4 linked regions of the Coturnix japonica genome follow. The protein of the gene in region 1 binds, or shares a complex with, the protein of each later gene. Links are inferred from orthologs where the notes say so. Each region holds a gene or a part of one and is shown in the gene's direction. Other genes may lie near its edges.

Region 1 (7,558 bases):
GCATCTGCCAGTCTTGTGTATACTGTTGCTAATGAAGACATACTGAGAAACAGTAACACTGTGCAATGCTAGACCTGATGTAAGTGCTGGAGTGAAGAGCTGAACCTCCCTGTAGTTAAGAGGGGCACATGTAGATAGTGACTCAGAGCACCTGAGTTACATAGAGTTTCACAAGTAAAACAGGTTTGTGAACATCTTTCAATACTCCATGCTTTTGAGTGTTTGCAGCTTTCTAGCCAAGTCCATCTGACTCAGGCACTAAGGAAAGATGTCTTAAGAATATTTTAGAGTGTGGATGTTTTAATTTGGACACACTAAAAGCTTTGTCTCCCAAGTGCATGGCCTTCATAGCTTATTTAGGCTTCCTTCACACAGTTTAAAACGTCTAGTGATTTGTTTACTTTTATTTTTTACTATCCCTGTGGCTGTTGATGAGTGTCTCTGTCATACCAGTGGGTATTTGATTGCCCTGCTGGGACTTTCTGGCCAGTCCAAGAGTCAGGTTTAGATTTTTGGGTCCCTAATCTGACACTGCTGAACCTTTCAGGCTCAGCTGCATAAGATACTGAAGTAGCTGATTATTTTTAGGGGTGAATATTTTTTTCATCAACTTTGTTGTTCAGTCCAGTTGTTTGTCATGTTTTGGACACAATCTCTTGAGCATACAGACTTGTGCTGCTGAAAATTCAGGAGTAACTATTTTCAGGGTTCCAAATATGGAGAAACTGCTGCATTTGTGTAAATTCTTATGATTAAAACATTCTGGGAGGGACAAAGCTTCTGTCCAGGTACTTTTAGATAGATAGCTGTCCATCATTTAGCAAAATGTCATTTTAAAGAATTAAGTTAAACTTAATTTGTAGGCATTAAAAAATAACCACTTAATCAGTTGACAGATGTCTTGTCTCAGTGTAAATGAAAAGTATGGAAAAAGAAGGCATAAGAGAAGGTTTCTTTGGATGCTTTTGGTTGGTTTGTTGTTGTTGTTGTTCATTTGGGATTTCTTTGTAATGGCAAATATTTCAACTGCCCTTACTTGCCAGCCGCAGGAATACAGGAGCAGAACTACTCATTAAAAATTCTAATTAAAGAAAAGCAACAACTAGAAGAAATGCTATTAGTGAAAAACTGACTGTGTTGGAACAAATGCTTGCACAAAATCAACCTGAATACAGTAATCACTTTTATTTCAGTGTACCATCTCTAGAAGAGCATGGGTGTTTTTTTTTCCTTACCATTTTATTTTTTTAAATTCCACCTAGTTGTTAATTAATGTGAAATATTATTTATAATATATATTTATGCTCATTGAAATTATTCTGATGCAGCAAATTGCCAAAATATTTACAGCGAACACCTTGATATAATCAGCAATTAATGAAGTCTTAGGAGGCTTCTTATAGTGAGTCACGCTCCTTAATCTCAATTGATAAAGTGGAGTGTTATCCAAATCGCTCGTTGCAGACTTGTTGAGGGAGAACATTGGGGCAGGCAGAGCTTCTGCAAGAGTGAGAGCTGAGCAACTGGGAGGTTTCTTCGGACCTCGTCCATAGCAATAACTGGAGCGTATGCTGTGTCTATTCTTTGCGTTCTTAGTATTTCATCATGTCATACGCTGGCATATTCAGCTCTGCTGTAGGGGTGATTTATCATTGGAGAGTGCTGATTCGTCTTAATTTTTCTTCCTTTTGTCTGCAAGATAAGGTTTTAAATTCTCTGAGGCTTCCTCAGCAGCCTCACACCAAAGCGATAGGACTGTTATTTATAGCTATCGCGTTTTAGATGCAAGCATGTTTCTGTTGATCTGCTGCACTAAATGGCTTTCTCTTGTCTTTGGACATAATTTTAAAACTTCATGAATACAGAAAAGGAACGTGGAAACGATCAGAAGCTCTGTAAAGTATTCTGACGTTTTGAGACTGGTTGTTTTTTGTTCTTCTGAACTGAGATGGTTTCTTTTTATCGCGCGTTAATAAAGTACTTTCGTAATTTCACAGCACCCAAATGCTTGCATAGAAAATAATTTTTATGACAATGTAAAAAAAAACAAAACAAGCAAGCCCCCAAACCAGCCCTGTGTGCTTTTAATTCCTAGTTGAGGATGCTTAAATTCTACTTGCTTTCAGTCCTCAAAAAATTAAGTTTAACCTGACTTTGGACACTGTAATTGCCTTAACAAAAAGAAGCAACTCAGACTTTATAGAGAAGTGTCCTAAAATATTCATTCCGATGCTCTGAAAGCCATGTTATGAAATATTCCTAGTTTTATTTTTTCTTAGTTATAGGTTTGCGTATTTTTTGACAAGCTAGATGGACGTTCTAGATGCTGGCCAAATATGTATCCATTTATTCAATTGCAATAACCTCGTTCTTCAGTGGAGATGTTTATTTTCTCAGAACACCGACTTTTTAAATATGTGGATTTCCATGTAGATGTCCTCGTCAACAAAACCACAGCTCCCCCTCTTCTATTCAGAGTACATCTCAAAGGAAACAAAATCTTGTTAGTGACTTAAAGAGCCTTTCTCGAGTTTGACAAGAATGGGGCTATGTGTGAGGTAACTGGGCTTGTAGTACGCAAGCAAGGACTTCATATTACGCTGCACTTTCCTACAGTCTTTACACTTTTTGAGGTTGTCAGCATAAGTTGTTTCCATCCACACCTGATGGCTAAGACTTTGTTCCGGATCGCTATGTATCTCCACCCCTCTGAATTTTTTTTCAATAGGTGCACTAGGCCTTCCAATGAGGGGAATGAGCAACAATACCCCTCAGTTAAATCGCAGCTTATCACAAGGCACTCAGTTACCGAGCCACGTAACGCCAACAACAGGGGTACCAACAATGTCACTTCACACGCCTCCATCTCCGAGCAGGTATTTATTGATAGCCAATGTTTCTGCAATTGTGTCTTTCGGCAGAGCACTTACTAAATGTTCTGCGTATCGTGCCACAGCTACTTTTAGACTGATTAATTAAAAAAGAAAAACAGTAATTTTTTATTGACCACTGCCTGTGTTAGGTAAGTAATACCGTAAAACGGTAGGATAAGACTTAACTTAAGACAGTGTTTGATTTTGTATGTAAAGGATGTAAAGTTGTTGGCAAATTCTGCTTCAGAATGTAAGAGTCTGTTTTTCAGTTGTTCTGGTAAACAAATGGTAAATGTTTTTATATGGCTGTATTACAGTATGAAAATATTAAGGTAGTAGGTCTGAAGTGCTCTTTAAATAAGAGTTGTAACGCCTCTTCAAAAGCATAGTACTTAAGTATTTATCTGAACCTGACCGAGGACTTGATTGGTACGCAATGGGTCATCTGGTGTTTCTGAAGAAATCCAAAACTACGTTAATTATAGAGAGTACTCCAAACATACAGTGTTGAGTCTAAGCACAAATTAAGTTGCTACAACTCTTAAGTGTATCCTACATGAGTAATTTAAATGAGTAACCAAATACTATTGTACAGATTCATCTCTGTGGATGGTTTTTCTCTTTCAGGGGGATATTGCCTATGAATCCTAGGAATATGATGAACCACTCCCAGGTTGGTCAGGGCATTGGAATTCCCAGCAGGACAAACAGCATGAGCAGTTCAGGGTTAGGCAGCCCCAACAGAAGCTCTCCAAGCATAATATGTATGCCAAAGCAGCAACCCTCTCGACAACCTTTTACTGTGAACAGGTAAGGCTGTTTGGTCAGACCATGCCTGTGCAGCCATGGGCGTGCTTAAGATCTGCTTTCAAAGTCTATTTTTTTATCCATTAGAATAAAACTTGAAAGTGTTGCTTTGCGTCTTCCGGTCTCTCAACGCTAACTTTCCAAGCTGCTGTCAGTAGTTGTGCAGCCATTTTTGAAGCCTTTCAGCTAAATTCTGTTTCTGACTACTTAATTTCTACTATTCCTTCTTTAAAGTATGTGATGTTTCTAGTATGTTCCCAAGTTTATTTTTGAAACAGACTTTGTTTTTTGTATGTATACATCTTCTTGAAAACTCTCCATCTATGAGTTTGGGAAGAATTTAGTCAAGAGATAATCCAGAATAACTGTTTCAAATTGTGGTTCTGTAAGAATAGTTAACTGATTTGGACACAATGGAGACCTCATATTTTACTTTAAATTCTGGAATAATATGGAAAGCAGTGGTTTGCAACTCATCCAAGGTGCTTGTTTTGATGCCAGAATTTTCTCAGTTACTTCTGCTCTTTTTTTCTAACTCTGGGCAAGATTGTGGCATCAGAAATCATTGTGCTTTACCTGTCTTGTTGATATGTTTATGCTTAGTTTATATTGATAACCTTGTAATAAAATGTGTGTCAATTCCAATTACATAGTGTGTAATCAGCTTCATGCAGCTGACTGTTTTCCAGACTTCTTTCCGGAGCCTCATGATCCCTGTGTTCCCAGGTCATTCCTCTTTCTCGCTTCATGCCCTAGGCTAGGGGACTGAGCTCAAATACACTCCTGGCAATCAAATGCTACCTCTAACCCAGTGTAGTATTTTTACTAATCAAATGAAAAAAAATGGATGCCAGTTATCTGAAACTTGATCAGTCTTCTTAATTCTGTATCTTTGCATTATGATGTAGGCATAAGTAACCTCTTTCTTCATCACAGCAATAGAGGTTTGATAATAGTAATTTGTGTTCTTGGAGTATGAGAAGACTTTGGTCAGAGACCACTCTGAAAGTAATGCCTCCTATTTTATTTCCATGGAAACTACAACAGATATAGAGACTATAACAACTATAACAACAGAGAATTTGATGGAGCAAATTCTCAGCTACGAAACACCATTTTTCAACATAGTCACTGCTGTTAGCTATGCATATTTGCCCATGATGAGCAAGACCTTGCATGCCATGCTTGTCAAAATCTGCACCAGCTGAGGTGACCCACTCACTGCCTCAGTGTGCTCACACCCACTGTTTGGTCTCCGTAAACATTCAGTAAGTTCCAATGGAAGCCATTTATTCCAGATGGAGGAATTCACTTCCACACCTTTGCTTATCCGTGCTTCCATCTCAGGTGCCATTGTGTCAGACTGCCCCTCTGCTGCCTTCTGTCACACAGCAACAACATGTAACAGAATATTGGTGGGATGGTTCAGCCCCCACTGCCATACCACCAACATCTGCTTCTGATGTTGTGGGATAACACAGTAAAATAGGAGGCATTTCTTAAAGAGCGGCCGTTGTGTCTTGGCCTTTTCTTTCCTGTGTTGTGCCAGCAGGCAAAGAAGCTAATAATTTTAAAACATTATTTTATAATTTTAAGTGTTTGTAAAACTTCAGCATGGATAAAAAAAATCTACGTGCAGAGAATAATGATTTTGGAGGTTGATGTATAGGAAGTACTTGTTTAAACAACATCCAGCTGTAGGGCAGAGATAATGAAATTCCATTCTGTAGGAGCGTTTGAATGAAAACTCTTCTTTTGCTGTTTGCACTGTATAGCTCATGTTAATGATGGTACAGTTTTTACAAGCTGAGAAGGACATATTACTAGAACAATGCCAAGTTCTTACTTCATGTTTTATTAGCCTACAAAAGTATAGTACATGTCCAGTTGTTAATTGACTATATTTAATGAAATGATGACATGACATTTGAAAAAAAAGTTTTTATTTCCTTGAGAGGTACATGAATTATGTGACTTCCATGAATTGTTTTGAGAATTGTTCCTTTTCTTGGAGCAAAGAATGACTTCAGATCTTTGAACACACAAAATACTTAACTTTGTCTTTCTTGGTTACATCAGTAAAACATGACGAAAGCTGAGGTAACACAGGTTAACAAACAGTTTACAAGTAAGTGTAAGGAAATACGCATCTGGTAGCCTAAAACCTTTCTTATCACTGGAATTCTTGGTCTAGTTAATTCTAGTTATTTTAAAAACAAATGAACATGCACAAATCATTTAGGTGTTTGTCAGACCACAGCACTCCTATCTAATTCTTAGATATCTTCAAGTATATTTACTTGTCTGTATGATACTTTAACTGGTATCCTTGTATGGCAGATACTGTATGTTGTGATGGTTGCATACAATAACTTTCCAGCTTTTAACTGAGTCACGACAAACTTGATCCCATCAATGATTCAGCTTCCACCCTCAAACGAATGCTCTCTAATCTGACTTTTTTCTATTGTCTTTACTATTATTTCATTTTTATGTATGAAATTACCAAGTAAAATGCACATTTATCATAACTTGTTGGCTGACAGATGTCAAAGAACTTGTGTCTGTTTAAAAAATAATAATAATTTTTAAAAAGCAGGTTATTTCAAAGTCATTTCAGTTGTCTTCATTCAGCAGTGCTTGTTGCTGTTCGGAATTTTCAAAGGTATGAGGGAAAGTGATAAAAAATTGAGTTTAGGCTAAAGTGGATTGCATAAGATGACATAATTTAAGTGCCTTTGGCTTTTTTTCCTTGATGCCTTCAACTGGAAATTATGAAAGTCTCTATTCTCTTTTCTCTGACTTCTTGGATTTTTTTCACAGTATGTCTGGATTTGGGATGAACAGAAATCAGGCGTTTGGAATGAATAACTCCTTATCAAGTAACATTTTTAATGGAACAGGTGAGTTTACTCTTAATTTATGCTGATCTCGCAGTTCAATAGAGAGATTTTGGTTTTGATTGGATAAGGTTAGAAATACTTCGAATACAGTTGTTGAACGGAAGTGTTGCCCTTAGAGAGCAACTCTGCGCTTTTATTCAGCAGATTCTTTAAACCTGACATTAATGCAGAAAAAGTACTTTATTCTAGTTTCAAGATTCTGTGGGGAAAGTGTATTAAAGGTTTGTTTGTTTTCCCATAGCATAAAATAACAAAAACAGTGCTCTGCCATCTGTTGTTATTGCTTTAGAGCAGTGGCTTGTAATACTTCTGAAAGGCCAAGTACAAGTCTGCTGTAGAATAATCACTGTACGTCACTTGACTTGAAGTTGTGTCTGTTCAGTTAGGAATGCAAAGTAGCTTATGGAATTGGATAGGAAATGGGAGAAGGAATATTTCAAACATTACAGAGGATAAACACAACAGGGCAGCGTTTTTAGAGACCTTGAAGTGATCCTTTTGGTCAGTTGTTTTAGTTGGGATTTTTCCCAGGGAATTACTCTTCACCTGACTTTAATTAGAAAGAGATCAGTGTTCTCATGTAACAGTGCTGTAGGCTCACGGTGCTTTGGTATTGGCTTGTTGGTGGCTGCCTACCAAGGGGTGCTGCCGATGTCACAGCACGGAAGCCTCAGCTGAGGGGTTTGGCATCCCTGTGGCCTTGTGACATCCTTATAGAGCCCTGTTGCTCTCCTCACCCATGTAGTTTTATCCCTGCAAACTGGAAAATCTTCCTGTGTTACCTGTGTCTGCAGTGGTTTGGACTTTACCTTATCTTACCTTATCTGAGTGGAAAAGAATTCCTTGTTGATGATATGGGTGATTATTTTCTCTGAAATCTTTCCTTGATAGCTCCTTACATTTTAAATGTGTTACCTATCCTAGTGCTGTGGTTTTGATATTCTTCCTCTATCTTGTCTAATTCAGAAAGAGCAA
Region 2 (7,558 bases), on another chromosome or scaffold:
TTTGCAGATCTGATTAGAAGATCTGATAGCAGGTCATGTTTTTGCTTCTTCACGTGGCCGCTTGAGGATAAAATAAAATGTTTTCTCTGGAAGCTGCAGTGGGGCCGTTTACACTAATTCTTACTCTGTTGTAAGAGTCAAAGCTGCATTGGACTAGGCAAAATATCTTCCTCTTAATGTCTAGTAGCCTTCAAGTCAGAAGTGAAGAGTGTTTTTATATTATTTGACTGTATTGTTTTTGTTAATTTGCAGTGGATATGACTTTGGTTATCTAATCAAAATCCTGACCAACTCTAATTTGCCTGAAGAAGAGCTGGACTTCTTTGAGATACTGCGATTGTTTTTCCCTGTCATCTATGATGTAAAGTATCTCATGAAGAGTTGCAAAAATCTGAAGGTAAGTAATCTGTTAGTGGTTCAGTCCAGACATTTTTTTGTGGGGAGGGGAGAATACCTTCTGCTAAAAGCTTATCTTCTGTATCCTGGTTTTCCACTTTTGCTCTGGTTATATCCATTAAACAGGACTTGAACTTGGTGCATATTTAATATTAAAGGCTATTGATAGAGGCAGGCAGAAGTGCACGTCAACTTTTATAACTACTTACCAGTTAAAAAATATTGTGTTGGCACTGTATTTATAGCTATGCCCAGTTTTTGTTGCCAGATGATAAACTCATGTTTGGGATATAGATCCTTCACTTCTTGAGCAATAAGAATTGTTGGGTTTCACGTACTCTTATTTCCTCATTGTGCAGTCCACTAAAGGGCTGCAGTCGTCTTCACAAAGGTAATTGCAACGGTGATGCTGTGGAAGTCTCTTGGGAAGAGGAATGGAGTGAAGAATGTTTCAGATGGCCCTATAAGGAAAGATAAAGAGCAGCGTATATTCAGAAGCAGCACGTGACTTCTAGAGGAAAAAAAAATAAAGTAGTTTTAGAAACTAATCTCTCATATCAGGCCAGCAGGGCTGCTAATTGGCATGACGTTTGGAGACTTAATTGAACTGGAAAATGAATTGAAACAAAGTATGTTGAAGGGGAAGACAGCGAAGTGAAAGATGCTACAGGGATTGTTAACGACTGTACTTGCTAAAGAACTTTAAGATTCTGGACTGCTACGGGAATGAAGTGCACCACTCACCTGAAGCAATAAATGACTTTGTTGCTTATATGGAAAATAACTTGATTTTTTTTAGTCTTTCTTAAAAAGAACGTGAATAAACAAACAAGAGCATTGGCTGTAGTACAACTAAATCCTGAGGCATTTCACTTCCTCATGCTGAATGAGTGGTCTGCATGGAGTTAATAGTCCTTTGTTTCCTTGAGGTGTTTAGTGTGTCATTTAAATAGTAGCATCCAAAGATGTGTAATTTCTTTTGTGAACCAAATTGCTGATAATGGAGATCTCCCTTTTAGTTATTAAGAAAAGTATACTTACCGGACTTCATCCAGTTATTGGGAAAACCAGTTGGGCAAATGGCTGGACATTAGAGAACATTTTAGACATGTTTTTTCTTCACAGAAGCTAGAAAGGAAAAAAAACCATCAAGCTTCAGAAGTCTCCTAAGGGTTAGGGGCAGCAAATTCAGCACCACCACCAACAAAAAAAAACCCACAAACTTTCTCACTTCTGAGTGAAGTAAAATGTCTCTTGTCTTTGTGGTGGTGATATACTTATCAAGAACAGTATGTATCATCTACTTCAGTGACCTGGGAAAGGCAACAAAATGGCATTCCATAGTGCTGTTCCATAGGTGATATTCCAAGTGGTTTTGGGGAGGAGAGAGTTATATTGTCACTTAATTAAGGCAGTTGTGTGTAACTTGCACTGTTTAGAGATTCAAATGCATTTTGGAAGATAAGAAAAACCTTCATGAGTCTTCTTTCAGCAAAAATTAAGAACAAAGGTGTCTTTTTGAGCATTTAATATGTAGGTGAGCTTTCCTGCAGCAAATCTTATTCTTCTTAGCTGCAGATTGGTAATGACAGGAGGGAATGTGGGCTATCCTACCACTCTAAGCACCAGCAAATGAAATTATTGTGGACTTGTACTGTTCTGAGAGCAGCTGTCTGAAAAGAAAAGTTGCTAAGTGTTGCATATTGTGACTCAAAAATTGTCATGTTTGGTCTCTATTAAATGGCAGAGAATTGAACTGCTGTGCAGTGGTCCTTTATTGACTTTTATAAGTTATTTTCATACAAAAAACAGACTTACTCTAAGCTTCCCACCTACCTCTGCCCTCACATAGCCAAAAGTGAATTTTTAGCATTGATAAGACAAGTGTTTGAGGATGTGGAAACTGTTTGCTGCTCTTACAATGAATCCACAGTATGCTACTCTAACAAAAATGGACATCAGTGTACTACACAGCAGGCAGACTGTGACTAACTCGAGGTACTTGTGTAGTACAGGTTAAATTCCTGCTTGGGGTCTAAAAATCTTTTCATGCAGGCAACTCCATACAGTTTTTGCAGTAATAGCAGTTCTAAAGTAGATTTATAGGCTGTTCTTTCATTTTCTTCTGAATCCCTTTCTACTGCCTTTCTTCCCCACAAGTTAAATATTCTTATGTAGAGCGTGAAGTCTTTCCTGTAATAAAATTTCAGTAGCCTAATAATCTTTGGAGGCAATTGTAATGATATGTTTACAAATGTATCTACTGGTGACTATATGTATTGGAAGGGTTATTTTCAAAGCCTTCTTTGCTTTGCTGCTGTTCCTATAAATTTTGCAGCCACTGTGTAAATAGTACTGATTTGTGATATCAGGTGCTAAGTGAAGCTGGTATAGATAGCCTAACAGCTAGCACTACGTAATGATGAGGCGATGTTAAGTGTCAGCTTGGGAAAGTCAAGAGTTTACAAACAGCAAATAGTGCTTTGGAAAGGCAACTGCTGTTGCTAATGCCAATAGGAAAGTTAGGTTGTAGAGAATGTGCTTTTATTTGAGATCTGATTGATTTTCTGCCCATCATCCCTGAACTTCCTTAAGGGTCTAACTTAAACCACTGAATTAGTGTATATGCAGTGATTGAATGTTATCTCTAAGCAAAGGAAGAAAACAAACTTCAGTGCTTGACTGTACTACATATAGGGTAATTCTCAAATTTAAGCAAGTGATACTCACCTGTTCAAGCTAGAATAAAGCTAGACATGCCAGTACCGTGTTGGTTTGCTTGGTGTTACTTGGGAATGTTATTACTGGAGATTTGTTTTTAAGATGTGTTGCATTTAGATTCATAGAAATTTTCATAATGTTAGGTCTGACCTCTTGGTCAGATTTCTGTTAGTGTATCAATTCTAACACTGACTGTTATACTTTTACCTCTTATTGTTTCCTTTTCCGTGGTTGAAACAGGCTAAAGGTTTTGAGGACACAGGTAACCTCAGATGCTGGGCAGTATTGATTTAAGATCGTTTTGTCTGTGTGATGTTTTTACCCTGCAAAGGCTTGTATTTTCACTAAAGGCTTCTCCTTTTCTCCTTGGTTTTTGATCTTTCTGGACTATAAGGCACATGCCACATGCTTTAGTGCATTTCTAGGGATTTAAGGCTTAATGTTTTTTAAATAGTACAAAATTATATTCCCACAGTTTACAAAGATCACAGTTGAAGTATCATGCACATCACTTGAAAGATAGATGTATCTACATAAAACCAAACTAAATTTCTGACTGTTTGCTTCTGTAAATGGTTATTATAGGTCTTATAGGGGCAGGTAGGTTTGCAGTGATTTCTGTACCTTTTCAGTATGTTATTTCAAACCATGTGTCAGCATTCAGGCAGTGAGTGTTAAATGGTTCCTTTTTGCATGTGGGATGCTTATACTCTTCTGTAAGAGGTAAGTTTCATTCCATGTGGTGTGATTGTTAAATATACATCTCTGAGAGGAAGTTGACTTATGTCTTTGGTTTTCATTGTGTTGAAAAAACAACTTGCAAAACAGAAATCCATCATTTGTATGTTCTTTGTTCCTACCCTCTTGAGGCAGTTAATGGAACAAGTTTTAAAGATGAGTAGAATGTCTTGTAGGGTTGGGCTGTGTACTTGGGTTGTTTTTTTTTCCTTATTTTCCTGTAGCTTCCTAGATATTTAAGGATACTCCTAGTTTTTATAAAGGGAACTGAAAAACCCTCAAATGGTCTGTTAAAAAGTGGAAGAGAAAATGAGTCTGTTTCAGAGGAAGCCTGGATACTTTTAACAAAGCACCCATTTGTAAGAACTTGAATTCTTGTATTTGTAGAATGACATTTTTACTGTTTAAACTTTCATTCAAATAGAAGGGTTATAGGAACACCTTGTTTTGTTCTTCAGCTTTGCCAGTCCTTGCAACCTCTTGAAGGGATTGTTTTGTTAAGTAGCAGCGTCTGTTCCCTCGGGAGGATGGAACATGAAGCAGTAGTAGTTCTATTGGACACAGGCGCTGCTTGATTTAAGCTCCTCTGAGATGGAACTGAATTCAACTGTTGATAGAGAAAGCTTTATCTTCCATCAAAGAGACTATTTAAGCTTCTGTGCAAGCATTTAAAATATGCTGAAGTTGAAAGTCTGGTATAACAAGTTCTTCCCAAATACTGATGTTTGGTTTTGTTTTCATTTTTTTTTTCAGCAGTTAACAAATGTTTTCATTTTCAGGGTGGATTGCAAGAAGTGGCTGAGCAGTTAGAGCTGGAAAGGATAGGACCACAGCATCAGGCAGGATCTGATTCTTTGCTCACAGGAATGGCCTTTTTCAAAATGAGAGAAGTAGGTGCACGTGTCTTGGTTTTGTCTCCATAGTAGTAATTTGCTGTAATAGATGGAATTGCTGATTCTGTTACGTCTGATGAATTTTATGGTGATCTCTAAGGGGCTTCAGAGGCCCCTGCTTTCTTGACAGACTTAAGACTGTGTTTTCCCCAGACTAAGTGTAAACCAGCCCTACTGTTTTCCCTGTTTAGCTACTGTGAGCATCACTGCTTGTTTTCATTGTATGGCTGGCTTTGTTGTTGTTGTTGTTTCTTTCTTTCCATTGCCTGTTTTGCAGGATTTCTTCTGCAAAGTGGCTGCTGGAGCCAGGCTCTTTTCTGGGTAACTGTATTCGGGCTGCTTTTCTGCAGAGCTTCTGCTGAGCTGTAATACCCAGCTGGTGTGCACTGCTGCCTGTGCCAGGCCTAGCAGCAGGGAATGAGCAGCTCTGCCTGCGCTGGCTGCTTCCAGCTAAAACTTGCGGGGTACATATGTATTAAACCTGTAGGCTGCTGCAGAGAACGATGCAATTGTTCATCCTGAGTTCACCTTTGGTAAAGCACAGACAAAATAACTCAGATTCTAAAACATGTCAGTCAATTTTGCAGAAAGGGAAATCAAGACTTGTAAGCTTTGTGTGTCCATGCTACTTGTCTGCATGCATTGGGAGAATATTAGGATATTTTGTATGAGCAGAATAAACAAATTCTAAACAGGCTTCTTGAAAGCAGTTACACTGGACAAATGCTGGGGCATCTGAATGTGACATTCTGCCAGGAATTTGGTGTCATTTAATAGTGGCGATAGCGAGCCTCATCTTTTTGTAGGGTTTAGTGTTGAATGCTGAGGCTTCTACTTGCTGTAACGTGGCCTTTTTTATAAAGGAAAAAAGCCGACTGTGAGTTTCTAACAACTGCTAGTGAAACAGCAGATGAAATATAAGTGCTGTGATGTAATCTGGCTTGCTCATCACAATGCTGTTCTCCTCTCCTGAAACTGTTGATGTTGTTGAGCTGGTCATGGGTTACGTAGAGGATGTTGCTTATGATGTGGTCCACCTGTGATCTTCACAGGTGCTGTTAACTGCAATCTTTTGTATTTGAACCAAAATCTAAAGCAAATAAAGGAAGGTATTTGATTATACCTAAGGTGCAAGGTGCTGACTTTCAAAACCCATGATCGCCATGTAACAAATTGCATGTTATTATTAAAGAGTTTGTTGTCTCAGAGAAAAGAAATGTAGCTTTTAGTACAAATCATTTGTTTAAATAAGCCAACAAAGATTGATTGTTTTTTCAGGGTTTCTTTTAAAATACAACATTTTGAAGTAAGAACATCCTAGTCAAGAGCAGCAAATATACTTAGAGTGCACTTCTAAAGCCTTTTCAGTTGAGTTCAATGTTTAGCAATGTACGCTGGAGTGAAAAACGTTGTTTCACAATGTTTTTAAACGTACAAAATAGTGCTGATAAGTGTTAATAATTGCTTTTGGAACTTCAACTTGCTGGTTCGAGTCCCAGCCAAAAAATTTGGATCTTTTTCTTCCCATCAGAGATGTGTTAATATTGATGCTGGAACAGCAAGCTGTGGTTTAGAGGTTTTCCTCTCTGCTTATTATTCCTGCAGTACAGAACCTGAAAGGTTCTATTGATAATTAAGACTTTTAAAGTCTTATGTAAATGTAGTCTTGGTTAAAAAAAAAAAAAAGCAGTTTCCTTTAATGTTGCTGCTCATTGTTAAATGAAGCCCTCTTAGAGGATGTAGCTGAGAAATGCAGGAAGATACATTTGCCGAACTCAGTAGTTTCTGTGCTTGAGCACGTACCTCCTCATTCTCACCTCACACCCACGTAGTATAAATCTGTTTTAAGACAAGGTGTGATGGAACCCCCACAACAATAAGCAGGTAAACTGTGGGCACTTGCAATGAATACCAAACATACATCTGCTGTGAGAAAGCAGAAAGAAATATGCCAGAGAAAATATTTTGTTGTGCTTTCAGAAAAGCAAGTAATAACGGAGGTAATACCAAACTGCCAAAACATGGTCGTTTTGGCAGGTGAGGTGCACAGGTGACTGTTTGTATTCCTTCCTTTAAACAATTGCACTGTATAGCACATTTTGATCATGTGTTGAGATTAAATGCATTGTTATGCTAATTCTGTCATTTGAATCTTGGGATGTGATATGCAGTGCTAAAACCAACAGTGTAATGTCTTTTAGCCTTTCTGTCATTCTGTTTAAACTGGGTGTTTTTGGTGGCATTAATTTGTGTCTTTTTCTTTTTAACACTTCAGATGTTCTTTGAAGATCACATTGACGATGCCAAATATTGTGGCCACTTGTATGGCCTTGGTTCGGGGTCATCTTATGTACAAAATGGCACGGGAAATGCTTATGAAGAAGAAGCCAACAAGCAGTCATGACACGAAATGAAAGGCCGTCTTTTTGAGCTCCACATGCTTGTACATACGTTTTATCTCTGGTTGAACCCCTTGGACAATAAGGCTTTTTTTCTCCCTTTCTCAGCACACTTTCTTTTCTGCCTTTCTATGTATTAAACCTGACTGTTCCTATCACAGATTTTGATCTTGATATTGATATGTAGAATTTTATGGGTTACTTTTGGAGTCATAACTAGCCCATTTGTAAAGAAGCTTGTGTAGGATCAGTGTGGCAGAGAGAAGGGGAAAGCTAAATCATTATGAATAGTATGGTAAACTTGCCTATATCGGTCTTTGGTCTTAGGTTTTTTGTCTCTTTCCCCTCCCTTCTCCAAATTAACTCATGCTGATTGTAACTAACTTCCCCGTTCATGTCTGTTCCTTCCAG
Region 3 (6,876 bases), on another chromosome or scaffold:
GAGGTGTGGGCCAACAACCTGGAGGAGGAGATGAGGAAAATCCGAGAGATTGTGCTGAGTTACAGCTACATCGCAATGGTAAATGCTTGACTCATTTGTCTTATTCAAGGAATAGGGGCTAACGATAGTTGGACCCAGAGATCTTTTCCAGAGTCGATGATTCTGTGGTGGTTATGACAGCTTTGAGTGGGGATGCTAAACTCAAAGATAGGAGAGAAATTTGTAATGAAAGCATGATGTAAAAATACACGTGCCTTCAGAGCGCATAGAATTCAGCGCAGAACAAAGTTGTGTAAGTAAACAGTAAATGTGTATCTACATATTTCATATTGTATGTTGATTGGAAACGAGCTGCCTTGCTTCAATATCATCTCATTCTGGCCTGTTGTAATTGCTGTGCTGAGGCAGTGGGTACAGGAAGATGTGAAGGCAAAAATTCTCTCATGTGCTGGATCCTCTATGAAAGTTTTTGTGTGTTCTGAGTCAATTGATGTCATTTGACTTGAGAGCACAAATTGCTTGCTTTGTCGTTAGGGTCTGCCTTGATTTGCAGCCATAAGGTTTCCTCTTCCTTTTCTAGGACACGGAGTTTCCTGGGGTTGTTGTAAGGCCGATTGGGGAATTCCGCAGTTCCATAGACTATCAGTATCAGCTTCTTCGCTGTAATGTGGACCTTCTGAAAATCATCCAACTGGGCCTGACTTTCACAAACGAGAAAGGAGAGTATCCTTCTGGGATCAACACCTGGCAGTTTAACTTCAAATTCAACCTCACGTGAGTCTTCTGCATTAGGGAGCAACACCAGAAGAGATTATGTGAGGCTCAATGCCGGCATGACAGGCATTGCAGTATTTCTGGAATGATGTTATGATCTCAAACTTTACGTGCTTTTTATACATTTCCATATATTTTATGTAATCAATTAAATGCATGTATACTTACTATATACTTACTATAAGCTGATCATGCAGTTCTTGCAAACAGAAGTGGCAGTGTTTACTTGCACAACTGTCAGCCTCCTAAAAGCATTGGAGTCATAACAAAGAGGTTTTGACACTGAACGCTATTTGACTCAAAGTTATCATGTTTGGTTTGAGTTTTATTGACACTGTGACTCAAAGTTATCGTGTTTGATATGAGTTTTGTTGACTTCTCTCCCATCATCTGTGGCACTTCTGTTCCCTCAGTGTTACTTTTCAAGATGTCTGTTGTGTGAAGGTTTTATGGCATTCTTCAGGTTTGGCAATAGCGACAGAATTAATATTTGGTTAAGATTGCAGAATAGCTTGTTAAATGCATAGGAGTAATGGTATTAAAAGTGATTTGAGCTTCCTAGAGACACAGCCATGGAGCTCAGAGATGGATTGCCTGCAGGTCACTCTGATTTTCCAAAATGCAACTTGTGAGAAATCTTTTGGCAATGAGCCTTCCTTGTTAGCACCCTGACTGCAAAGCTCTGCTTTTCTCCTTCAGGGAGGATATGTACTCTCAGGATTCCATAGACCTCCTTGCAAGCTCTGGGCTGCAGTTCCAGAAGCATGAAGAAGAAGGGATTGATACCCTGCATTTTGCTGAGTTGCTCATGACTTCAGGGGTCGTCCTTAGTGACAGCGTGAAATGGCTGTCGTTTCACAGGTAGGTCTGAGGTGATTACTGGTACTACAGAACAAGATGCCTCTTTTTGGCTTAAATAGTGCTGCTTTGGACCATAGAGACTAACAGACCTTAAGGAGATGGATTTTAGCAGCTGTGCAGTTCTTAATATAAGTTTTAAATTGTAAAGGCGAACTTTAAGTACTGGTACTTCATTTTATCTCAGCACCTTCTGTGATCTGTATTTTGTGCGTGTTTTGCTGTTATCTTCCTCTATGGAAAAGAAGGTTGTAAGTATAGAAAAACACCCTAATGAGACGAATGTAACACTGATACCAGCTGAGTACAGGTGTTGTTTATCAGGTTTCTCTATGTTTGTTTTCAGTGGTTATGACTTCGGCTACATGGTGAAGCTGTTGACAGATTCCAGGTTACCTGAAGAGGAACATGAATTTTTCCATATCTTGAACCTTTTCTTCCCATCAATCTATGATGTCAAATACTTAATGAAGAGCTGCAAAAACCTCAAGGTAACTTTCATCTTTGATGCAAACGAGGGCTGGATGGGCAACATCCCTACAGATATGCAGGAAGCCAAATGACAGAACTATTGTCTCTCAGAATTGGAGTATAAAATCCAGTAGTCACAGACACTTAAGGCTAAGTTTGTATCTAATAAGTACTACATCCCCAGTTAGAAGCTTGTCAATATGTTTATTATGTAGGGAATGTTGACATAATTGTGTCTATCTTATTACTTTTTTTCACCTGCACAGAGTGGAACACTTTTGTCATACGTGAACTATTAATTGCTAGGCACTCAGAGGGTTGAAAATTATTTATGTACTGAATCACAGCCTTGGTTCAGGAAAGGGTGCAGCATTTGTAACCTGTGAATGTACCCACAGTCATCTCATGCGTCTGCAGCAGGAAAGCAAGGTACCTAAATTTGAGTAGAGTATTTCTGCGTTCTTGAACAATATTTATCATTGTATTTCACTCATAGCTCACTATGTTGCTGGAATCTGCATATAATATATTTAACAGTTGTGTTCTGGAGCAGTGTGGCACTTATGGTAGGACATAGAAAATAAACTTGACTGTTTCCATTGCAGGGTGGCCTTCAAGAAGTGGCAGATCAACTGGATTTGCAGCGAATTGGAAGACAACACCAGGCAGGATCAGACTCTCTTCTCACAGGAATGGCATTCTTCAGAATGAAAGAGGTAATGCAGTGTTCTTTTTGGTCCTCCTTTCTCTCGTCTCTATCCATCAGCATCAATACAAACCATGTGTTTTTGGTGTTGCTTTTCTTTTTGGCTATGTGAGTATCACCACACTTCAAAATGGTCAGTAATAAGAATTGTGTATACTGGTATAGAATCTAATCTTTGTCTTACTGCCTATGCTGAATCCTAGAGGTGCTGACTTCAGACAAGCTCTTTCATTAAGGTTAGGTGCTTTCCAGTTTAGAGGAACAATTAAATAATTTCCTTTTTTTTTCCCTCTTCTCCGCAGCTGTTTTTTGAGGATACAATTGATGATGCAAAGTATTGTGGGCGGCTGTATGGCCTTGGCACAGGAGTGGCTCAGAAACAAAATGAAGATGTGGACTCAGCCCAGGAGAAAATGAGCATTTTGGCTATTATCAACAACATGCAGCCATGATAGGTGGTAGTCCTCAGCAGAATATGGTTACTATATTGGCAGCTGCTGTCACCTCACCCATTTTCCCTAATGCTGTCTCAAAGGCACAGTACACAATCTCTGGAAGGCTGCAGTTTTGCTGAAGAGCTGCATCTTCATTTGAAACCTTGGACAGAGTTGACTCAATTCCTAATGCCAGCATTTGTGATTTGCCATCTTTTTAATACGAAGGGCAAAAGACAGAAACTACTGTGTATACCTCTGTTTTTTTCCTCTTTATACTGTACAGAATCTGCAAGGAAGACTTAACAATGTAATAATATTCCTTTAAGACAAGGACCTGGAAATCCAGTGAAGTCAGACACAGACGTGCACATGAACTTTCAAACTGTGCTTTAGAAAGCTTATTTTAAAACTTCTGCATGTTGTGAGGGTGACAGCTTCACCTCATCTTTTGCTTATTTTATCTTTGTGTAGTCTGTGGAAAATATGCTCCCTTTGATCACTGCAGAGGTTTGAGAAAGGATAACATTAAAAACGATCCTTGCAGCTAAAACTATTTGGAGATTTGCTTTAACAGTGGGAATGGATATTACTCGAGTCTCAAGTTGATTTGGTCAGCTTCATGGCTTCTATTTCTCTGTGGTACAGGCTTGACCCATACTGAGCCTTGGCTTAGTTCTTACAGGTGTTAAACAATTCTAGATAGAAATTAAGAGGGCCTTTTGCTTGAGAACCTCTTGACAGGACCAATATTCTGACTTCAGTCTTCTTCAACTTCACCTACAAATCTTAGTCTCATTATGACACAGTTAATTCAGAACATGGATAAACTTGTTCCTCTTCTCCCTGCTTTTTACTCCATGCTTAATAACTTCCAAAACAGCTCTCCGTCATTACAAACATCTGAATCAGAGCTAGAGAATGGATGAACAATGTGGGATTCTGACTTCTAAAGATCAAGTCATTCTATAATACTTTTTCTTCCCCAGCAGCTCTGTAATGACGTTATTGAGCAAGAAAAAGACCTGCAAAAGTTTTGGATGTGGCAAACATAGAATTTTGACTTGGTCATGCATTTGACACAAGCTTAAAGAATTCATTATTAGGAAGGAGGGTTTAGAGCTGGGATTTGAAATACTTGTAAATAGAACCTGTTTTTAATTTTTGTAAAATAAATTTTTTTTTAAACAAGGCCTCGTTTGGGAATTTTAGTACTTGATGGAACTCAGCCTTTGGAATCTGAACTCAAGAGATACCTGCATGCAAGAAAGGGAAGATGCTGAAGTTTCTTTTACTAATGATGTATGACTGAGATAGTTCTTAAAATTTGCTTTTATCAACTGTTCTTCGATAACCTTGTGCTTAAAATCCCTGTGGTGGAAGAACCTTCTGTTAGCTCAGCAAGCAGCTTAGCCACTTAAAATGACAAATCTATTTTGCTGATGCGTCCTGCGTGACATTTTCCTGCCTCAGCTTCACCGATTCCCACTTAAACGATAGGAGAGCTGTTTGGTTAAGCAGTAGCTCCCCCTCCTGGTTCAAGCAATTCCAAGTTAGTGAGAACAACTCAACGGGTCAATGCATCTCTTGATACAACTAACTCCCTCCTTTTACCTGCTGCTGTTGAGTCATTTTGCTTCTAGAAGTTGCTGAGGCTCTTTGCAGCCTTGTTCTTTCAGAAAGAAATCATGTTACGATGGAAAAAAGCTCCAGTAAGCTGTAAGAATGGCCAGAACAGTTCAGGACTGCGGGATCTAGGATCACTTTTGACACTTGAAGAAGAGAGAACTTGTTACTACCTCAAATTTACCCTCGCTGTATTTAAAAGCTAACAAACAAAAACACAAAGCTGAGTCATGGTATGCAACAAACACCTGCTTTATCCAGCAAGTTCGATTTCTATTGTATTAGCAGTGACAAAAATAATTACTTTTAATGACATCTTACTAAATGCCCATTCCTGCTTGTAGAAGACTTTATTTAAAGAAGGGGAAATAAATTCACACTTTTCTTAAGTACAACACTGGTTTAAAGGTCAGACTACTTGAAGGAACCATTATTTTCTTCAGAGGGCAGCTGGTGCTCTTCTGCTGGAAGACAGCTGCTCAAAACTATTTTGCATGTAAATTCCAAGAGATTTCCTTAGCATAACTTCCAGCAAATAAAAGACGTATAAAACTCCTGTATAGAGTTTCAAGGCTGCAATCTACTACTTTTCAATTTCCTAATGTAATCTCATTAAGTAGCAGTTGATAACCGTGAATGTGTGGATATAAACCTGATTTGTTTGTAATATTATCCAAAACAGTAGTCATCAGTAACTGTATCTGTAGAAACAAGCCTTCACTTTGAAGAAAGAACAGTCTTGTTGTTAACTGGTGCTAAGTGATTGCAAGCAGCTCAGAGGAGGTGTGTCTGGTCTCAAAAGGTCACGTCAAGAACTTCCTGACAGCCTTTTCATAAACGTCAGCACTACCGTGTTTTCTAAGGAGATCCAATGCCTGTTGGTGTAATTCAGGAGGACACTGGGCTCCAAGGTGAAGGAGTACAAGGCAGCACTCCAGCACATCAGGGAACGGAAAGACCTGCATGCAAAAAAAAGAACAAAGAGTGAGTCCACTCTTTCAGTTAGAATTGTTTTACTACAAGACGTTCAAGCAGCTCCATCTAGAAACTGCTTTACAACATCTATTTGGGGAGATGGGATTTTTCCTCTTCTTCCAGGACATTAGCACACATTTAACCAAGTTGGCTCCTCTGTGCACTATCACCATAAATACTTATAGACTAGACAAGAGAAGGGATGATGCAGCCTAGAGATGTGATTTACAATCTCACACTGTGGTGTTTGAAGAGTTTCTAATTAATATAGGCCATTTTATAACTGACATTCGTGACTTCATTATCAAAACTGTTTCTGCATATGAAGTTACTGTACATAACAAGGGACTGCTCCTCGAACACATGGGAAAGATTCATACAAGATATCCCATTGAGTTGTCTCATGCAGAGACTTCACCTGCGTGCTCCAACTGCATGGAGAAAGTAATGCCTGAAGCAAGAATCCAACCCTGATGCCAGGTATTAACTTTCTCTATCAATTAAAATTGCTGTGGGATTAGTTCAGGGAAATGGAGGGTGATTCTGCCCACCTATATCAGCCAGCTTATATTTATGTTACTAGCACCTTTATCTTACAAATCTAGAGTGCAGCTGGGGCACAAAGAAAGTCACTGATCCTTCTGTATAAAAAAACCATAGTATATGACTAGCAAAAATGCTGAGTCCCAGCCTGAAGCAGTGATGGAGCACCTGGTGGAAGGCAGGGCCAGCTCAGGAGAGCTCAGGTGTATACAATGCTCCTGAGTGATTGGAAGGGGTGGAACCAGGATCCAGCCCTTCCCAAACCTCATTTAAGGGTTGGCAGTGGAAGCGAGGGGATTCTGCTGGAGATCCCTGCATACCTGAAGCCTTCCAAAGGTAAGTGATTTTTTTTTCCCTTTGTTTCTGTATCTACAGCTGCTGTGTTTGGGCTTCCCATTTGCTGCAGCCTAGGGCTTTGCCGCCCCATTATTACTACTGTACTTTCTATCAAGTTATAGCATTACAATGACTTACAAAAAGACTGTCTTC
Region 4 (8,164 bases), on another chromosome or scaffold:
CCACATTGATTTTTGGAGAATTCTAACTGGATGCACAGATTTCTCCTGGATGAAACCAGAAAGGGGAAAAGTTGTGGAATTCTATTTTTTAAAAAGTGTTATTTATCCTAGCAAAGTCTGAGAATGTAACACAATTCAGGTGATCCCAAGACAAACCCATTAACGGAAAAAGATTGTGAAGCTATCATGAAAGCCAAATGGAATGAAAACACATAACAGTACCACAAGCAAGCAGAATCAGAGTAGATAAAAATGAAGCAGAGGAGTTAGGTGATGCCACAGGGGAATTAATTACCAGGTGCTGCATGCTGAGAGGAGACAGTAAGAACACCTTTGCCAAAGGGGAATCAGAGAAATGTATTGAGGCTGTGGTGGCACCCGTTCTCTAACTGCCTCCAACTCCATTGATCTATTTCCCCATGGTATCCTGGCTCCCAGGAGCTCTGCACCCCCTGCTCCCATCACACACCCCAGGGATGGTGAAGCCCCATCTGCCTCAGCTCATCTCCCAGGCCCTACTTCCACATTTCACTGTGACCAATGCTGTCATGAGTGGTAAGTGTTGCTGGGAAGATTTTCTGCCTCTTTTTGTGTCTGTTAAAAAAGGTGTCAGAAGGGTTTACTTGAGGTGTTTGTCTTGCACAGCTGCTGTGGCTGCAGGGTGAATCCACCACTCCTCCCCCACAGCACCACCACTGCAAGTTCCAGCGTCAGTGAGGAGCAGGATCAGAAATAACAGCAGCAGTGAGAAAAGTCAGCTGGCTTCCACCTGCGAGGACACTGGAGTCTGGTGTGGCACAGACCTGCGTGAGGCAGATCCAAGCAGAACATGCTGCTTCCCAGCAGTTCCATGGCTGGGGATGTGATGTCTGGTGTGAGGGCTTTGCCCCATGGAAATCCAGGATGTACTGGGTCATTTTGCTCCTTACCCAAACCAACCTGTGTGAGTGTGCCAGGAGTGCGAAGGACCTCAGAACAGCTTTTTACAGCCATCAGCCTGCTCCTGTGGCTCTAAGTGAGTTGCTAAAGCAGACACAGCCCATGCTGGTTCATTTACTGCTTGCAGACAGAGTAAAAATGGCAACAGTCTGCAATGCACCATCATTTTCCAGGAAAATATATTCCATGGCACTCTGAAGGCACAAATACTGCACTGAAATGAGGTATATTTTATTGCCTTTGGTGGACAGATTCAGAAAAAGAGGATTACTAGACTGAGACTAATAATTGCATTCAATGTACTTACATTTACACTAGTTTACATTTTAAATAAGAACTCCATCTGTATGGGGAAATGCAGTCCTGGAACATGCCTTGTTTTATTGCATAGTGCCACCTACGGGTTGGACTCTTCTAAGGTTTAGAGGGGCAAGAGATAGGAAGCCCTATTAGTAGCAGGGTAGGTGTTAACCTAATCGCCTGTGATTTGGAAAGCAGCGGGAAAAATAAAGTACTGCCAAGATTTCCATATTGTAGTATCTGGCCATAGAACTGTAGTTTTTACAGTTTCCTTTGGAGCTGGCTCTACTCTTCCCTTTCTTAGCAGCCTGGCAGTGATGGGGTTGTTGTAAATCCCTGTTTTCTCCCCTATGATCTGGGTTTTGCTCGTTTGTGATCAGCAGGGAGGTTATCTGCAGCAAGGCAGGGGACGGGATTGCTGTCTTGATGGTTTTGAGAACGCAAGGACTAAAAAGAAAGCATTGAATTAATTGTGATGATTTATTTCTTGAAAAACTAAAACTCCAAAACAGGAGTTTTAGAAGATGACTTTTATTTCTAACACACTTTTTATTCTCTCAAAGGACATTTGAATTTATTCTGTATCTCCTTCAGCAGGTGGCGTACCTGCCTCTCTGGAACCAGATGCATGTTCTTCTGTCTGCTCACTTGCCACGATTCTCAGGCAGAATAATGCAAACCATACATATGTGTACTCAAGAACCTCTTTCCCTCGTCCTTGGAGGAAGGTATTGATGTTATTGCTGAATTTATTTTTCAAGGACAAATGTCAATTACATTTTTGATCGCATGACCACACACTTGGACCACACAAAGGGTGTGTGTCTCTTCATTGTCTCTCACACACATAACCATAAGATTTAATCAGTAATAAGAAGGAGGAAAAGATATTCTATTCTAACCAAGAAAATGTTTAATCCCCTAGAAAGGATAAACATTTTCATTTTGGAAATATATGACAAAAGATTGTTGTAAGTATCCCTCGGGTAAACAAGCCCTGCAGTACATTGATGGCATGAGGGATGAAACAAACTACCATGACTGTCCTCCTGATGTCACGATGGAGAAGAGATGCAAAGCTGGGTACCAGTGCTGCCATACTTCAGGCTGAATTCGCTCTGACAGGACTGTCAAAGCAAAAGTACAACAGGGAGCAGTAAATTCACAGTGGTGCCTCTCTGTGTTAGTGCAAAATGCTCTGTGACTATCGGGCTGCTGTTCTGGCACTGGCAACAGACACTGTACCCAACCTGAGAGAGGCGGCTGCCTCTCTCCACATCAGACATACCTGAGCATTCAGGAGCAGGCATTCAGAGCAGGGAGGTTATGTGCATGTTGAATTCTTTCTAACTTTGTAACTTTGTTGTTAAACAAAGTATCACCTTTCCTTACAAACCTTCCCCTGCATTGTGTCAAAGTAGCATTAGGGAAAACAGAGTAGCTGGATGCCTGTGCCAGAAATAGTACAGCCAGCAGGAGCAGGGAGGTGATGGGATGATCCCTCTGTGCTCGGCACTGGTGAGTACCTCAAGTACTGTGTTTGGTTTGGGGTCCCTCACTGCAAGGACATTTACGAAGATGATCAGGGGGCTGGAGCACCTCCCTTATGAGGACAGGCTGAGGGAGTTGGGTTTGTTCAGCCTAGAGAAGAGAAGGTTGCGGGGTGACCTCATTGCAGCCTTTCAATACCTGAAGGGAACTTACTCCCAGGAGGGGAGTAAACTCTTCGAAAGGGCTGACAATAGCAGGACACAGGGAAATGGTTTTAAGTTAAAAGAGTGAAGATTTAGGTTGGATGTTAGGGGAAAGTTCTTCACTAGGAGAGTGGTTAGGCCCTGGAACAGGCTGCCCAGGGAGGTTGTGGATGCCCCGTCCTTGGAGGTGTTCAAGGCCAGGTTGGACAGGGCCCTGGGCAACTTGATCTAGTAAATGTGTATGTCTGGTGGCCCTGCCAGGCAGGGGGGTTGGAACTACATGATCCTTGAGGTCCCTTCCAACCCGGGTCATTCTGTGATTCTGTGATTCTGTGTGATCTGTGATATTGAGGCCCTATAGTGTGTCCAGAGATGGGTAGTGAAGCTGTGAGGGGTCTGGAGCACAAGTCTTATGGGGAGCGGCTGAGGGAGCTGGGACTGTTCAGTCTGGAGGAGGCTCAGGGGAGACCTTATCACTCTCTACAGCTGCCTGAAAGGAGCTGTGGTGAGGTGGGGGTCAGCCTCTTTTCACCGGTAACAGTGATGGGATGGGAGGGAATGGCCTCAAATTATGGCACTGAGGGATGTGGTCACTGGGCATAGTGGGGATGTGCTGGTGGCTGGAATATGTGATCTTAGCCATCTGTCCAACGTTAACGATTTCATGATTCTACGATTCTAAGAAGGCTGGCAGACCAGCCTCACTCCGCGCAATGCCAACAACATGGCGGCCGGGGGGACGCAGCCAGGTTGCGAGGCGCATGAGCACGGCGCCCCTTCCGGGGGGAGGGGGGGAGCGCAGCGGCGTCGTGACGTCAGACGCGGTCCCCAGCAACGGCCGCACGTCGGTGGGCGCCGGCAACCCGGAAGCGGCGGGTAATAGGGACGGAGCGGCGCGTAGGGACCGGAGGGAAAGTAGTGCCACAGCGGCCCGGTGTTTGGTGGAGGAGCAGGGGAACGTCTCGTCTCGCGTGGCAACGGTGGCAGAGATGGCGGCGGACAAGACTGCGGGTGAGCGGGGGAACGGCCGTGGGCCCGGGCGGAGGGATACGCTCTGGTAACTGGTACGGAAAGGCCTGGAGGCTATGGCCGCTGGAGGTGCAGCTAACAGGTGTGAGATCTCGGCCTTCAGCTTGTAACCATAAAAGTGACTTTGCAGGAGAGCTTTGTTTAAAACACTTGTTCGTTTTTGTCTTTCTACATGTGATGTAGAGGCATAGTGAAGTCTGTAGAGCTGCCCTGATGCTTCCCTAGGAAATACACCATGTAGCTGTGTAAGTGGCACGTTTCCTGGGCAGCTAACAGTGTCTTTCATTTATTGTTTGCTTACCTAAAGATGTGTCACATCAAGGTTCAGACCTCTGTGAGCACCATATTGCTTGTTTTACCTGCTTACCAGACAAAGGCGGTACCCAGTGCTGCGGCTTTGCCTGGCCCTACCGAGAGCTAAACCTGTGTATGTGGGGAGCTCCTGGTCAGGCTGAGCATTAGAAACGTCCCAAGGTTTCGATTCTCACATATCTGCATTGTTGTTGCTTATGCTGGTGTAACCTTGAGGCCTGGGGAGCAAGTAAAGCAGATAACCTATCTGTTAGCATGATGGTGGGAGGGAAAATGCATTTATTTCTTCATTGCTGTTAAAAAAGGTCCTTGAAAGTCAGTGGGTTCTCTACCACAAATATTAAGGAGTCAGATCTATTACGTGGTTAGTATGAGGAGAGATGCTTCTTGTTCCTTTCCTCTCTGTCTGTGAGAAAACTGTGGCACATCAAAGCTTTTTGAACTTTTCTGATGTTTGTTTTCTCTCTCCTTATGGAAAAGGTTCCACTGGTGAATGCATTATCACAGAATGACCCGGGTTGGAAGGGACCTTAAGGATCATGTAGTTCCAACCCCCTGCCTGGCAGGGCCACCAAACATACACATTTACTAGATCAGGTTGCCCAGGGCCCCGTCCAACCTGGTCTTGAACACCTCCAAGGACGGGGCATCCACAACCTCCCTGGGCAGCCTGTTCCAGGGCCTAACCACTCTCCTAGTAAAGAACTTCCCCCTAACATCCAACCTAAATCTTCCCTCTTTTAACTTCAAACCATTTCCCTGTGTCCTGCTATTGTCAGCCCTTTCGAAGAGTTTACTCCCCTCCTGGGAGTAAGTTCCCTTCAGGTACTGAAAGGCTGCAATGAGGTCACCCCGCAACCTTCTCTTTTCTAGGCTGAACAAACCCAACTCCCTCAGCCTGTCCTCATAGGGGAGGTGCTCCAGCCCCCTGATCATCTTCGTGGCCCTCCTCTGGACCCTTTCCAAAATCTCCATGTCTTTTTTGTACTGAGGGCTCCACACCTGGACACAGTACTCCAGATGGGGCCTCACAAGAGCAGAGTAGAGAGGGACAATCACCTCCCTGCCCCTGCTGACCACCCCAATTATGTGCAGTCAGATTTCACAGTAGGTGTGTGTAGTTCTGTAGCACCCTCAGAGTCCATCCCTCCCAAGTACTAGAATTGCTGTACCCTGAGTTTTGTCCATTTCGCAGCCCATTGCTTTGTGACTCGCTGGTGAAAGATGGTTGAGTTTTAACATCTCAACTTCATGGGCATCATGATGCAGGGTGGAAGCCTCAGCAAGCAACAAATAGATTCTTGCTGAAATGTATGATTGTGTAGGATGGTGGAAAGTGTTTCCCTGCAGCAAATGCAACCCAGGAACTGAATGGTGACTGTGTTTTGATCCTGCCATGGATATTACATCGGGAATGTCCCTAGGCCTGGTTATTATTGTTGTCCATCCTCGTAAATAAACTTCAAGTGTTTGTAGCCAGTGAGTAGTGGATGATTCAGGTGTGTTGGTGCTTATGGGGAGTGTATTTTGTAGTGGAGATCGTAGAGGAATGTTCTCATTTGTTTGGTGTGAAAACAAAGTTAGCAGAGTTTGCATTACATCCTTTCTTTCTAGGAAAAGACAGACATTGAATATACAGTGCCCACCAAACCCATTAACATGGCAAAATACGGGCTCAAGCAAAAGCCTTGTTGTGGAATTGAAGAATTAATTATCTGCAGCAGTGGAAGCCATGGCAGGTGTATAATCTTTGTTTCAAAAACACTACGTGAACATGTGAGTTGAGGTTTCTAGATACAAGCTGGTCTGGTGTGGCACTGGTTGTTCTGGTTTTCCCTCCAGTAGTTTTGAATTTTATTGCAAAGAAATTGAAGACAATTAAAACCATGTTAGATTACTGTACAACTGCTCAAACCATCACAAATAAAACCTTACATGCTGGACTGGTCTTCATCTAGAAGGGAACATAGCAAAACTATAGTTGCAGCATTTTCTTAATGCTGTTCCCTACAAGCTGGCAGGAGGATCCTGAGAACGGGCACAAACAATGTTTTTTGAGCTGAATTACTTCTGTTGTGTTTACAAACTTTTCTATCATCCTTTGTCAGACCAAGGTGCTGAGAAGCACGATGGAGCTGGTACTTCAGGAATCACTGATCAGGAGAAGGAGTTGTCGAGCAGTGCATTACAAGCTTTTCTGGTAAGACACAGCCAAGCCCAAGCTTCTCTTCTACCACATAACTGCTAAACTGGTTGATAGAATTTTTTGTTCCCCAGTTTTCTTAGCATGGCGGAGAATGTATTAGCAAGTTATTATACTAAAATCAATGCTTGTATTACAAAGCCAGTGCGTACATTTCCATAGAATCATAGAATCGTATCATAGAATGGCTTGGGTTGGATGGCACCTCAAGGTGAGCATAATATTCTTGAATAATTCATTCAGCAACATAAATTAAGGCTCTCTTGGGAAAGTTAGGAAAGGTGTGTAACCTTCCTCTTCTGCCGGCCTGTGTTAAGCAGACATCCAGGGGCTAAACTGGAACTCAGTCTGAAGATGAAGTGAGAGACAAACATAAAAAGGTGGGCCACGAGTTAGACAGGCAGCTGCTCAGTGTACGTGTGATGGAGACAGATTGTGGAAACTGAGGAAATAAAGAATCTTGAAGCTTGATATAATGACGCCAAAAGAACAACAGTTTTTGTAGAAACATGTTTGTAATAGTTAACTGTTCTATTTGTTCTTTCTCCATTGAATTCTTGTTCAGTTTTAGTTAGGACCTCAGCTTTGACTTGCTTCTCATACATTTCAGTCTGCATGACAAATGGAGTTGGTGTGGAGCTGTTTACTTGTGTTGGTCAGGGAAATCCTACATTGCTCTCTAGACTCAGAGAGAGGAGGAGGCTGCCATTAAAAATTATTGACTTATTAGAGGATACAAAGTTTAAACTAATCCCTTTGTGATGCCTGCTGTTTCCAGGCGGGAAATTATGATGCCTGTTTGCAACACCTGAACACCCTTCAAGACATAAACAAAGATGACTACAAAATAACTTTGAATACTGCAGTTGCAGAGTTTTGTAAAAGTAACCAGACCACAACAGACAATTTGAGACAAACCCTGAACCAGCTGAAGAACCAGGTAATGCAACCACTGCATGATATTTAAGCATTGTTAATGGGGATGGGATCTTCCAGTGAAATAGGAAGACAAGTTTTGCCTCTTCCCTTTGTTAACTTGTAACTGTTACTGCCCTATCTTTAGGCTCATTAGTACCTTTGGATTATTTTTCTATAATAAACATTTGATGCTTTAACATCATAAGTTTGGAAAGCTTAAGGATAAACAAGATTCAGTTCTGTGTGTTTTGGGTTTTTTTTCAGGTTCACTCTGCTGTTGAAGAAATGGATGGTTTAGATGATGTTGAAAATAGTATGCTTTACTACAATCAAGCTGTTATTTTGTATCATCTGCGTCAGTATACTGAAGCTATATCAGTTGGAGAGAAGCTGTACCAGTTTATAGAGCCTTTCGGTGTGTAGGCAGAAGAGTTTTGTTTGTGCAGTAACGAGGCAGAGTAAATGATCTTCCTCTGCTTATCAGAAAAGTGACTTGTAAACGTACATAATAGTAATAAAAAAAAGACAGGCTTAGGAATGATGAGTAATCTTTACTTATAAGGACAGCATTTGAATTTGGGTGGGAAGGTGCTTCAGAGACACTTAGCAGATGAGTATAACAAAACTAAAACAGATATTTGACAACTTCAGGAGGTATTTTATGAAGCAACAGGGATGAAGTGTTTGTATGTGTGGGTCTCAACAAATCCAGTAAGTATAATGCTGTTTCTCCCTCAGTTCTCAGTATGCCTGTGTGGAGCTTACTCTG

The links.
Region 2: CNOT2 (region 1) and CNOT7 share a complex: the UniProt entries of both Homo sapiens proteins name them as parts of the CCR4-NOT complex. The link is inferred for Coturnix japonica from reciprocal best matches to the Homo sapiens genes CNOT2 and CNOT7.
Region 3: CNOT2 (region 1) and CNOT8 share a complex: the UniProt entries of both Homo sapiens proteins name them as parts of the CCR4-NOT complex. The link is inferred for Coturnix japonica from reciprocal best matches to the Homo sapiens genes CNOT2 and CNOT8.
Region 4: CNOT2 (region 1) and CNOT10 share a complex: the UniProt entries of both Homo sapiens proteins name them as parts of the CCR4-NOT complex. The link is inferred for Coturnix japonica from reciprocal best matches to the Homo sapiens genes CNOT2 and CNOT10.

Annotation. Positions count from the first base shown.
Region 1 is NC_029516.1:32,448,660-32,456,217, forward strand, and holds part of CNOT2 (CCR4-NOT transcription complex subunit 2), read left to right. Parts: intron 1-2,728; coding exon 2,729-2,876; intron 2,877-3,500; coding exon 3,501-3,683; intron 3,684-6,503; coding exon 6,504-6,583; intron 6,584-7,558. UniProt on the Homo sapiens protein: Component of the CCR4-NOT complex which is one of the major cellular mRNA deadenylases and is linked to various cellular processes including bulk mRNA degradation, miRNA-mediated repression, translational repression during translational initiation and general transcription regulation.
Region 2 is NC_029519.1:56,945,866-56,953,423, forward strand, and holds part of CNOT7 (CCR4-NOT transcription complex subunit 7), read left to right. Parts: intron 1-252; coding exon 253-397; intron 398-4,634; coding exon 4,635-4,745; intron 4,746-7,023; coding exon 7,024-7,152; 3' UTR 7,153-7,558. UniProt on the Homo sapiens protein: Has 3'-5' poly(A) exoribonuclease activity for synthetic poly(A) RNA substrate. Its function seems to be partially redundant with that of CNOT8.
Region 3 is NC_029528.1:6,000,026-6,006,901, forward strand, and holds the end of CNOT8 (CCR4-NOT transcription complex subunit 8), read left to right. Parts: coding exon 1-78; intron 79-580; coding exon 581-774; intron 775-1,473; coding exon 1,474-1,635; intron 1,636-1,978; coding exon 1,979-2,123; intron 2,124-2,708; coding exon 2,709-2,819; intron 2,820-3,111; coding exon 3,112-3,261; 3' UTR 3,262-4,436; downstream 4,437-6,876. Other genes in the region: GEMIN5 (gem-associated protein 5), read right to left, coding at 5,673-5,828. UniProt on the Homo sapiens protein: Has 3'-5' poly(A) exoribonuclease activity for synthetic poly(A) RNA substrate. Its function seems to be partially redundant with that of CNOT7.
Region 4 is NC_029517.1:37,316,799-37,324,962, forward strand, and holds the start of CNOT10 (CCR4-NOT transcription complex subunit 10), read left to right. Parts: upstream 1-3,742; 5' UTR 3,743-3,922; coding exon 3,923-3,944; intron 3,945-6,382; coding exon 6,383-6,474; intron 6,475-7,255; coding exon 7,256-7,417; intron 7,418-7,659; coding exon 7,660-7,810; intron 7,811-8,164. UniProt on the Homo sapiens protein: Component of the CCR4-NOT complex which is one of the major cellular mRNA deadenylases and is linked to various cellular processes including bulk mRNA degradation, miRNA-mediated repression, translational repression during translational initiation and general transcription regulation.